3 linked regions of the Schizosaccharomyces pombe genome follow. Changing the gene in region 3 together with the main gene of any one other region gives a genetic interaction. Each region holds a gene or a part of one and is shown on either strand. Other genes may lie near its edges. The genes, in order: fin1, air1 and pfd5.

What was found.
Region 1: mutations in pfd5 (region 3) and fin1 impair growth when combined (synthetic growth defect), as found in Schizosaccharomyces pombe (2 studies listed by BioGRID, with this or other methods).
Region 2: mutations in pfd5 (region 3) and air1 together harm fitness more than expected from each alone (negative genetic interaction), as found in Schizosaccharomyces pombe (2 studies listed by BioGRID).

Annotation. Positions count from the first base shown.
Region 1 is NC_003424.3:1,352,258-1,356,012, reverse strand, and holds the start of fin1 (NIMA-like serine/threonine protein kinase Fin1), read right to left. Parts: upstream 1,793-3,755; 5' UTR 1,654-1,792; coding exon 1,594-1,653; intron 1,326-1,593; coding exon 1,302-1,325; intron 1,256-1,301; coding exon 1-1,255. Other genes in the region: nucleoporin Nup40, read left to right, coding at 2,354-2,589, 2,777-3,656. UniProt on the Schizosaccharomyces pombe protein: Promotes chromosome condensation and nuclear envelope dynamics during mitosis. Activity appears at metaphase-anaphase transition.
Region 2 is NC_003423.3:978,834-982,517, reverse strand, and holds air1 (TRAMP complex zinc knuckle subunit Air1), read left to right. Parts: upstream 1-1,749; 5' UTR 1,750-1,937; coding exon 1,938-2,159; intron 2,160-2,208; coding exon 2,209-2,310; intron 2,311-2,365; coding exon 2,366-2,989; 3' UTR 2,990-3,160; downstream 3,161-3,684. Other genes in the region: SHREC complex ATP-dependent chromatin remodeller Mit1, read right to left, coding at 1-450; U1 snRNP-associated protein Usp103, read right to left, coding at 625-947, 1,007-1,222, 1,269-1,278; ilv1 (acetolactate synthase catalytic subunit), read right to left, coding at 3,400-3,684. UniProt on the Schizosaccharomyces pombe protein: Component of the TRAMP (TRF4) and TRAMP5 complexes which have a poly(A) RNA polymerase activity and are involved in a post-transcriptional quality control mechanism limiting inappropriate expression of genetic information.
Region 3 is NC_003423.3:4,025,251-4,029,005, reverse strand, and holds the start of pfd5 (prefoldin subunit 5), read right to left. Parts: upstream 1,601-3,755; 5' UTR 1,589-1,600; coding exon 1,402-1,588; exon of another isoform or gene 1,348-1,401; coding exon 1,238-1,347; exon of another isoform or gene 1,195-1,237; coding exon 1,089-1,194; exon of another isoform or gene 1,024-1,088; coding exon 962-1,023; 3' UTR 890-961; coding exon of another isoform or gene 701-889; 3' UTR 660-700; coding exon of another isoform or gene 1-659. Other genes in the region: COP9/signalosome complex subunit Csn1, read left to right, coding at 1-659, 701-889; SPOM_SPBC215.01 (GTPase-activating protein), read right to left, coding at 1,930-3,755. UniProt on the Schizosaccharomyces pombe protein: Binds specifically to cytosolic chaperonin (c-CPN) and transfers target proteins to it. Binds to nascent polypeptide chain and promotes folding in an environment in which there are many competing pathways for nonnative proteins.

The sequences.
Region 1 (3,755 bases), on a different chromosome or scaffold from region 3:
CTCTGCTTGATAATTCTTTACGGAGAGTAGGTCTTTTCAATATCGGTTGTTGTGTAGTTAGAGTGAAACCCGGACACGATAACGTTTGCAAGGGCTTGCTAATTCCTAACTTAGGAATATGAAGTAGGGGGGATTGTGATGCTTCAATTGTACAATCTACAAACATCTCAGCGGTACTGCTTTCAGGTTGTTCATTATGATCCACAGGACTTGTAACACGCATTTTCTGCATAGAGTTTACTACGGTTTGCATGTGTCTTTGATAACGAGCATCCATGTCACGCAGTTGCTTTTCCAACTCACGTCGCAATATCTCTTCACGTTGGGCTAAGCGAGAAGCTATAACGTTTTCGAGTTCACTTTCCCGAGCAGAAAGCCTTTGCTCGCGAAATTGGAGATCATTTTCCAATTGAATAAGCATCTGATGTTTTTTATGAAGCAAATCGCTTTGTTCCAAGACTACTCTCTCGGATTCCAATTTACTACGAATATCGGATAAAATAGGAGAGCGAAGTAGCTGGTAAGTAGTAGGTCTGAGGTCTGAATTAACTTCTAAGCAATGCCTGATTAGAAGGAAAACATCGTCGCTGTAATGATGATCCCAACAGGAGAGATTACCCTGGCAAATATTACGTTGCAATTCCAAATACGACCTTCCTTCAAAGGGATGCGTAAGCATGCAGATCTCAAAAATAACACAGCCAAGAGCCCAAACATCAGACTTCGCACTGTAAGGGCTGCTCCGAATTATTTCAGGAGACATATAGTATGGAGTTCCCACGTAACTCTGTGTGAAGACACGCGTATTGTCCAGCAATTTGGATAAACCAAAGTCTCCTAACTTAACTGAATTATTTTCATCAAGAAATATATTCGCAGGTTTGATATCTCGATGCAATACAGATTGTTTAGGATGAAAAATTTCTCTTGGCCACTGTGAGTCACAAGCAGGCGCATTTTCTCCATAATGGCAGCGATACAGAGCAAGTAGTAATTGCGTAAAAAATTTGAGAACCTCTTGCTCGGTAAATCTCTTTTTCTCTTCTTTATAACGTTGAATAAGATTGGCTAAATCACCATGACCACAATATTCCATATAAAGGTTTATTACCTGCGCAGAACGATTCAATTCTTCTCCGCAGTATTGAACAATATTTGGATGCTTAAGATTACGAAGAATATTCACTTCATCTGCGATGTACTGCTTTTCCTGCCGAGTAATGTTACCAAAGTGTATTTCCTTCTGAGCCAAAAGCTAAAAAGTATTAATAACTATAAAAATAAATTGCTTTCAAACTTACAGCACCATCCTTTAAGCGTTGAACCTATAATAGTTAGCATAATGCATAAAAAAGGAGTTGCAAAAAAAAATATCGATCAAAGTTTCAATTTGAAAAACTGTTTTGAATAGAGTACAAACAATAGCGAAAAGCATTTAAATCAATATAGTTTCCCTGTTTCTTAAGAAAACAATTGATTCAATGCTATAGATTCATTTGCCAACCACAAGTAGTTGCTCGCAAATAAACTGAAAACAAGAAAGAATTTTGCTATCCAATAACCAATTTCAGTGAAAATAAGATTAAAACTTACTTTATAAATCCTTCCAAAACTCCCATGTCCAATACACTCAAGAATCTTGTATTTTTCCATACTTCAGAACAGAAGTAGCCCATGAGATTCAGGTAAGCTTAAAATAAAACTAAATTTCTCGGTAGGACCTTTAAAGAAAAAGAAAAATTCTTCTATCAATTAATAATATAAAAAATACTGCTTGGAGTGATTGAGTGCTAAGTATATGAATTTCAAGCCAAGATGTTTATGTTTGGTTCTTCTGCAGTGTCTCGTTAAATCATCAAGTGTAAACAATGTTGCCATGGTTAGGAGTAACACTGTTACTTCAGGTGCTTATTGCTACGATTATAATATATATCCAGTCGCATTTTAATTTCTGTAAGAAAAAGATACGCTATTCAATAAGCAATGAGAAAAAGTTGTGGAGAATTTTTATCATCTATAATGCCTTTTATGACATGATTGTATAAGGTTTGTTGTAAATGAGCTTGGAATTTAACAGAGTCCTTTAAATCAAGTTTTAAAAAAATGAATAGCTAAACGTATTAATATTAGTTTGAGGCTTTCAAAAGATTTATCTGCATGTTTTATAAAAATCAATAGCATTAACAATAAACTGTTATTTTGCGTTAATTGGTTTTAGTGATCTACGCTAGGCTTCATGATTCATTCCATGCAAGCCATCTCCTTCAAATGAACTTACCGCTAATTTATATACGTTGCAAAACATATGTTACACAACAGTCTATCACAAGACTCTAGTAATATTGCCGGAAACATGTCTTTTGGGGGAAGTGGTTCTATCACGAATCGATCAACCTTAAAGCCACTTTCTGTCGATGATTTACGTTCGCCCTCTCCTCAAAAAGAATATCGTGGATTTCGAACATCTGTTTCTAACATTCCACAAGAAAAAAAATTTGTTCCCAGTCATCTTTCACACTTTGGATCAAGTCAGCAGCGTCGATTTGCCCCAGAGGTTAGCTCGCCTTTAGCAGAACCATATGAGTCATCGTAAGTAATTTCTTTGAAGAGTTTAAGGGACATTTGAAGACGGAGGATTAAAAAATTGTTTAGTATAATTGCTTTTTTACCTAATATCTATCTATATCCAAATTTGTTAGAGCTTCAGCCTAATCCCTATGAATTTTTAAATATTAGACATAAACTCTTAGAACCTTTACTAATTTTCTCTAAATAGCTCTTCCTTCCGTTTATCTCTCTCGAGTCCCCCTTCTTCAAAATTCGGCGGACCCAGCTTTGGTACACCGAAACCGTTTTTGCATACAAATCGTTTAGGTACCGGATCTTTAATTGAAGATGCTCCTCCTACTCAATCCATTTATGACTTTTCTTCCTCTAGGCAAATTAATGCTCTCAATGTTGGACAAAGTTCTTCCCCTTTTTCTCCTGTCTCTGAAAAGGTATACGACCCTTCTTTTACCATGTCTGGCGCTCCTCAAGATTCAAATACCTCCGTTATCGTTTTCGGTTTCCCACCAGAATTGACAAATCAAGTAATAGCTGAATTTTCTCGTTTTGGAACTATTATTAGCGAGAATTCATTAACTGCTTCAAGTGCCGGATTCACTCCCTCCAAGGGTCCCATATCTGGTAACTGGCTACAATTAACATATGCTGAGCCTTCTTCTGCTGCCAAAGCAGTTTTGTCTAACGGAATGTTGATAAATGACTCTTTTATGGTTGGATGTATATACAGCCCCGCAGAAGCGAAGGAGCATGTTCCGAAAACGTTAAGAAACAGCAATAAAGACTTGGAAATGACGGATGCCTCTTCCTCCGAAACCTCAATGTCTATTCCCGTGCATGCTGATGCCCATTTCCAATCCCAATCTGGTCTTGGTAAAAAAGTCATTGTTCAACACAAAAATGATATTTTTAAATCTTCTCAGAAACATCAACCTCGTAATTGGTTATTTCATTATTTATTTGGTTTTGGTTCAACTGAGCCAATAGATGAGGAAGAAAAATCTAAAACTGCTTCTGACAACACTTCGCTTCAAACTTCTCTATTTGGAAAAATTGTTCAAGTCGTATTGCACACATTGTTTGGGTTTTAAACTTGTTGCTCAATTAATTTGGATGTTATGATTGCCAAAACTTGGTTATTTAGTCGATCCTACAGACAAAAAGCTTGAAAGGTTTTCATATGTACAGTA
Region 2 (3,684 bases), 3.0 Mb from region 3:
ATTTGTATCAGATGAAGATGAAGTTGCACTGTCAGAAGCCGTTTCATCACTGACAAATGAAGGATTAAGTGCGCAGTGAAATTCCTTTCCGAACTTAAATTTCTTGGTACGTGTTGAGTCCCTTAAGACTTTACTACCATTAGACTTCAGTAAATAATCATTTTTCTCTTCCTCATCCTTATCGGTTGAAGTCATATACCCATGGTACCTCTTTCGAGATTTGTGTTTTAACCATACTCTTAAACAAGCTTTTCCATTTTTATATTTATCAAGTTCATCTTTTTTTATCAATGCTTCAACACCCGCCAAGAATTTAACACTCAGTGTGCTGTCATTTTCGTGCAGTATTTTTTGAACGGTGGTTTCAGACGCGTCATAATAAGGTAGTAAAACATCAAGCGGTTCACGACGTACTACTATTTTACATAAAGAATCATCTTCTTTTGGCATGCTTTGAGATGAATATCTAAATATTCTTGGTAAATACTGTGTATTTGGAGTTGTCCTTAAATTTCACTACGTAACGCAAAGAGAAAGAATTACCAGTAGTAAACGGTTATAAACAATAGCTATTATACAGTACATTAATAGTAACAAACAAGTTTTAATCTTTTAGATGTCATTTTAAGCACGTACAAACCTTTGATGACTTCTTTGACCCTGATGGTGGGTTTTAGTAAAATGGTTATTAGCATTCGAATGAGTACGCGCGCGTTGATGTTCATTTGTCTGAGGAAGAGATTGCTGCTGTTGTGTAAGTTGAGTGTTAGAAGAAGCTGTAGTCTGGGGAGCTGAAAAAGCTACTTGGTTTGTTAAATTTACAGCAGGCATCATAGGGACGAATGCAGCAGCATTCATAGCATTCATTCCTTTAGGAGCCATATAGGTATTTGCGGATACAATGTAGGGCGGTGGTGGACATCCTAAGTTAAAGACATTATATTTGGCTAAAATTCGGAATATTAGACTTCGTATTCAACAAAAGTATTATAAAGTAATAACTTACGAGGAAACGCATAAGCATAAGGAAGGTCTAGCGAACCATTCCCCTTTTTTAAAAATCCAGAGGATGCCCTTTCTTCAAGTTGTTTTTGGGCTTCTTCTTGAGCTACTTTCGTATAGTAGTCCTGAACATTTTGTATATGGGCTCTTCCAGCATTGTGTGCTTTTCTAACTGATTGGCTATCATGAGTGAGCCAAACTTGGCAGTAATCACACAAATCTAAGCATTAATTAGTTTTCAATTATTGTTATTCATCGTATCATACATCTTGGCATTTTAGCGTGTTTGGCTGTTGTTGAGTCTTGTAATAAATGTGAGCTGTGTTGAAACGCTAAAATGATTTAAAAAGAAATTAATGTCAATTAGCAACAACTATACAAAGAACGTTCATAGTTAAACATTGAATGTTAAATTACTGTTTATCTATGCTTTACAAAGTGTTGAAACGAAGCTCTCGAATTTTCAACTACTTTAAAATCCAACGCCTTGAAGAGTCGGGAAGGTGCAATCATTTAATATTTTAATATAATTAAGTTACTGCTGTACTTTCAATATCTCTTCACGATCAGGGCTTTTAAGTACCAGACATTCTTGGTTATGCATTAAGTGTTGCATTTGAGAGAACAATTGTAATTTGGAGTATAAGTTATTTATTGAATTTCATTTATTGTCATGCTCATTTCAATGAAATAAACTTCTCATGAGAAAGCCAGATATAATCCATGTAAGGTGAATACTCACACCTTAACCAAAAATTTTTTGCCTTTACTGAAACTATTAAATTTCCATTTGATAGTTAAATACTTGAAGTGTTTTATGTTTTATTTGCTTTTAAACTGTTAAATTGATTGGGAATATTGTGAAGTAAACTACTGGCCGGCTGTTAAGTGTTAAAGAAAACTGTGCTTGCCATTATTACATTGCTTGTCAATATATGGACATGACTGTTTCAAACCAAAAAGCAGAAAGTGATGATGGTTCAGACATCGACGATGCGGCCTTGTTACAAAAAATTAATTCTTTACCGATTGACCAGAGTATCACAAATTCGGTGAGCTTGGAAAAGCATGATTTTCAAGGAAGTGATGACCATGACTCCTCTACGGATCTTTCCGATAGTACTTTGGAAGATGTGGAAGGAAGTGAATGGGCAGACGTATGGATTGAAAAGTTTTTTTTTAATACTTTTTACTAATAAAATTTAGGTGAGCAGGGGTAGATACTTCGGGTCAGATCCCTCAGAAAGTATAGTTTGCCATAATTGTAAAGGGAATGGTCACATATCTAAAGATTGTCCTCATGTTCTGGTATGCATTTTGATCGGACATTGTTTTTTTAATAGTGTTACTAACTGTATTACAGTGTACGACTTGTGGAGCAATTGATGATCATATTTCCGTAAGATGCCCCTGGACTAAGAAGTGCATGAATTGTGGACTACTGGGTCATATAGCTGCGCGATGTTCGGAGCCGCGAAAAAGAGGACCTAGAGTTTGTCGGACTTGTCATACCGATACTCATACTAGTTCGACGTGTCCTTTAATTTGGAGGTATTATGTCGAAAAAGAACATCCTGTTCGCATTGATGTTTCTGAGGTTCGAAAGTTTTGTTATAATTGTGCATCTGATGAACATTTTGGAGACGACTGTACTCTTCCATCTAGATCAAATTATCCTGAAAGCACTGCATTTTGTGAAGCGAACTGTCCTTCTGGAAATGATGCATCTAACAAGGAGTTTTTTGAAACCCGTCGTAAAGAGTTTCAATTGGAGAGGCGAGAGCAGAATCGAAATCAAAAATCGTCGAAACAACGGCCTTTTCACAAACCAGGAAATTCTCTAGCATCTAGGCTGGGATCTAAGCCAAAAAGCTTTAAAAGAAAACATAGCCCACCTTCTGAGGAGAATGGCAATTTATCCTTTCATTCTTCAGATGGAAGAAAATTTACCAAAACTTCAAAAAAAAATCGTAAACGAAAATGGTAATTCATGTGCTGGTATTATTCATCGCATGGTGTATCGCTCTGCTCACATTGCATTGCACTCATTGATAATACTATCTTACTAAAATTTATTGGCAAAATCTAAAATATATGTACATTAATTTTATACACTCTCATTTGCTATGTTCGCAAAATTTGTAATGTTATTGACCTCCATCATCAAAATTAAATACAAGCTATGATAACGGAGTAAACCATAGTTAGAAAGCAAAACAAAAAAAAACAACCAAAATCGAAGATAACAAGGCAAAACAAACAAATTTGCTTTAGGGTAAATAATGACAAACCGCCCACCAGAGTCTAAAAGAATGTGACACGATAATTAACGCAAGTTTAAATAAGTGTTACATCTGACTCTTACAAAATAGCTGTTTTTAAATTAATCAAAAAAATTTATGAAAGGCTTTCATGCAAAATAAATTGGTGAAGAGCCTTACCACCAGGGACAAATGGATACACATGTTCCTTTTGGGCAACCAAAACTTCCATAAGCACAGGACCTTTAGTTGACAAAAACTCCTTCATTTTTTTAGCCAAATCTTCTCTCTTTTCTACACGTAGTGCTTTGATGCCCATAGCGTCAGCCAACTTAACGAAGTTGGGATTCTTTTGATGAGTATGAGAATAGCGTTTCTCATAAAACAAGTTTTGCCATTGAGTGACCATGCCTTGCTCTTC
Region 3 (3,755 bases):
ATTGTACAAATGCTGGACAAATTGCTCATTTATCCTTAGAGTTAATGAGAATTTCTATTTGGATTGGTAATTATTCTCATGTACTAGCCTTCGGGTCTCGCGCCAAGTCTACTGTTAGTGCAGCCATGGAGCTAACTAGTCCTATTTATGCATACTGTGGATTGGCCAACTTTTGCTTGGGTGATTACGAAGAGGCCCTGGCTCATTTTTTAAAAGTTGAAACTGATACCTCTGATGGTATTATTACAAAAACTGACATTTCAGTGTATATCTCACTTTGTGCACTAGCGTGCTGGGATCATAAACGTCTGATTCAAGAGCTTGAAAGAAATGAAGAGTTCAATGCTTTGTCAGATTTAGACCCTTCCCTGAGACGTTGTTTGCAAGCGAAATGTAATCGCAAATATAGTCTTTTGCTTGATACATTACAGCAAAATGCTCAAGACTATTCTTTAGACATGTATCTGGCTCCTCAATTGACAAATTTATTTTCCCTTATTCGGGAGCGTTCACTTCTTGACTATTTAATTCCTTACAGTGCTTTGCCGTTCAGCAAAATTGCAGTTGATTTTCATATTGATGAGAACTTCATTGAGAAAAATTTATTAGAAATAATCGAAGCCAAAAAATTAAATGGCAAGGTGGACTCTCTTCAAAAGGTAAGTATAATAAATCTGCTATATTGGTCTAACTTTATAAGCGTGTTTATATCGAACCTTCTTCAGAGCCTGAAAACTTCGAGGACATAAAAAATATCGCGCAAACTAGTTTGCTTTACAGCAAGGCTCTTTACTTACAAACATTGGCGGCGATGAACACTGAAAATACTGACGACGAAGCTCCAGTTATCGCTCAAACGAACATTACCGCGGAAGATTCACAGAACTAACAAAAAGCATGCACATCATATAATTGGTTAATCCTTTACTTACTTTTTTTGAAATTTCATTAATTATTTAGCTTATGAAGATTTAGTTGCAGCTGTTGTAGCTGTTGCCTTTTGTTGCATAATGTTTTGAACGGCTACAGAGAATTAGCAAATTGTTGATAATAAGATAAAAATTGATCTGTACTGTAAATGCTCATACCTCTAATTTGAACTGATTTTGCGTCAATGGCATTGTTGAGGTTCTCGATACTGCTGGCGAGATATTCACATTTTCTTTTATAATATTCGGTAGCTTCTCCAGCGGACTAATGTCGTTAGGTTTAAAAATCTCTTATATATTAAAAATACCTTTTCAACGTAATAACCAGTCCCAATATCGACCAACAATTTACTGTTTCCTAAATTCAGCTTTCCAGGAACATACAAGCTTGAAGTCAAAGGTACCAAAACCTCCTTTCCTATTGACAATAGTTAGTGAAACATATGCAAAAAAAATTTCAGTTTGTCTATACCATCGTTCTCAGCCCGCACAGCATCGTTAACGTTTGCCAGGCATTCACGAAATTTCAATTGAGCACGTCCTAGTTGTCCATAGGAGGTCGATAGATACTCTAGCTCAGAATCTAACTGTTTTATAACTTCTGATAATTGCTCCAAGCTGAGAGAAGTCAAATCGACCGCTTTATTACCTTCAGCCATTATTACGCTTCTATTAGAACAGTCAAGATACGAAGGAACTGGTAGAAATTCCAACGCTGCACTGCATTAAATTACAGGTACATGGTAATCCATTTCAATATACAATCAGTTAGTTGGTTGAAACAATATTTGTTTTAAACAGTTATTCAGAATTATACCAAACAGTGAAAGTAGAATCGAATATGTTATTGAGCAGAGGGACGCTATAGAATATATCAATATAGATGATAGATTTTTCAATAATTAATAAATTATGAGCATGAAGATTAACAAAATTTGGGAAAATAATACTAGTTAGGATGCATTATAGTGCCATTGATTAGAAGTTTAAGTATAGCTTTTTAAGCATCATTTTTTTTGTATGGATCAAATTGAAGCAAATCTTTATCGTTTTCTACAACATCACCAACATCATCTTCGGTATCTGAAGAATTTGAAGGTGTTTTTTCAGTCGCCGTAGTTTCCGATGTGGTAATTTCAGAAGTAGTATTTTGATTGCTAGTACCATTTGCGGTACTTGGACGAGAAGCGGGTTTATGCCCACGAAATGTTTTACCAATCCTATTGGTATCAATTACCAAAGAATCCAATAAACCTCTCAAACCTCCGGTGGTTGATGATTTTTCTTGGACTGGAGCTAAAACGATAGAGTCGGCGAGTCCTCCAGAAAATAATTGCTCTAATAAACCAATTGATAAAACAACCATTCTAAAAGTGGGAAGACTAACTTTGATATCACTATTAGCACCAACAGAACGGTTTTCAGAACCAGTACTGCTCATATGGTCGCTTATATCAATCAACGTATCAGAATGACCATCAGGACTAGCTTCATCAGCAAAATGAAAGCAGCGTTGTATGAATTCGCTAACTGCGGATAGATACTCATCACCCATAAACCTAGTTAACCAAAGAATAGCTTCTGAAACCTTCAAAACGTCTGGTTTATCCATAAAACCATCTCCATTAAAGTCATAAAGCTCGAATATAAAAGATATATTGCGCATTACATCCCTAAATTTCAATTCTGCAATACCGGACACCAAATCCTGTAAAGATAATGATCCAGTCATGCTTTTGTCAAATCGTAAAAACAAATGACGAAGAAAGGATGATGAATTATTGATAGCCGCTGCATCCAAACCTTTCGCCCATTCAGTAACTCCTGCTAAAAATATACAAAATTCGTCAAATTCCAACCGTGTATCAGTAGAGCTGCCTAATCCAACTCGATGTTTGGACGACAATACTTCATGATAACGGTCGTAAATATTACTTAAATCCGTACGTGTTAATGTACCGTAATTTTGTAAACTCCTAATTTGTGTTCTCTTTGCAAATGACTCAATAGAATTCATAACTCCTTCGTAATGTTTTTTCCTTTCATCTTCAATTAAAGAGTGTGTTATATGGCTAAACTTCTTGAAAGCAGTTACCAATAAAAGTTGAAACTTCGTGATAGAGGCAACGCGTTTATCTGTTGCATCTTTATAAGCCTTATCTCCCAATGATGAAAAATAATTTTTTAAAATTGATATCAACATAGTGTCTTCTGTAGCCTTCATAATTTCAGCTTCGTTGTCATATAGGATAGCCATTCCAATTTGAAACAAAACCCTTGGACCCTCTAGAAAGAAAAAGTCTAACAACCTAAACGCATACGGTAAAGGCATTGTGCAAAGGAAAAGCGACAAAAACCACGGCAAAGAAATGATGCTAAGTTGAATGTCTTTGCTTACAAAATGCGCATGTAAGTTAGGCATTGAGCGTTGAACCAAACTTTCGTAAACTTGTTGATCAATTAGAGTGCCGTACATCGTCTTTGAGTAATAACCCGGAATGTAATCTTCACAAATCTTATGCATCAGAAAAAAGGTTTGTTCCTCGGTGCAATGAATTAAAAGAGCAGCTGCAACAATATTCATTGCCTGACAATAACCAACCTCTTGGTTTTTCCAAGAAAAGGCTACTAAAACATTTCGCAAAGCGTTGATACCTTCTTCATTTTGATAAGCAGGATATTCTGGAAGACTTCTACCTAAATCCTTTTCTATTTCCTCTAAAGAAAAAGATGTTTGACCAGAATACACTTTAAGAAGATGATCATATTCATCTGAATTCTCTAAACGAAAGTACATGGAGCCTGATGTAAGCTCCCATATTTCAC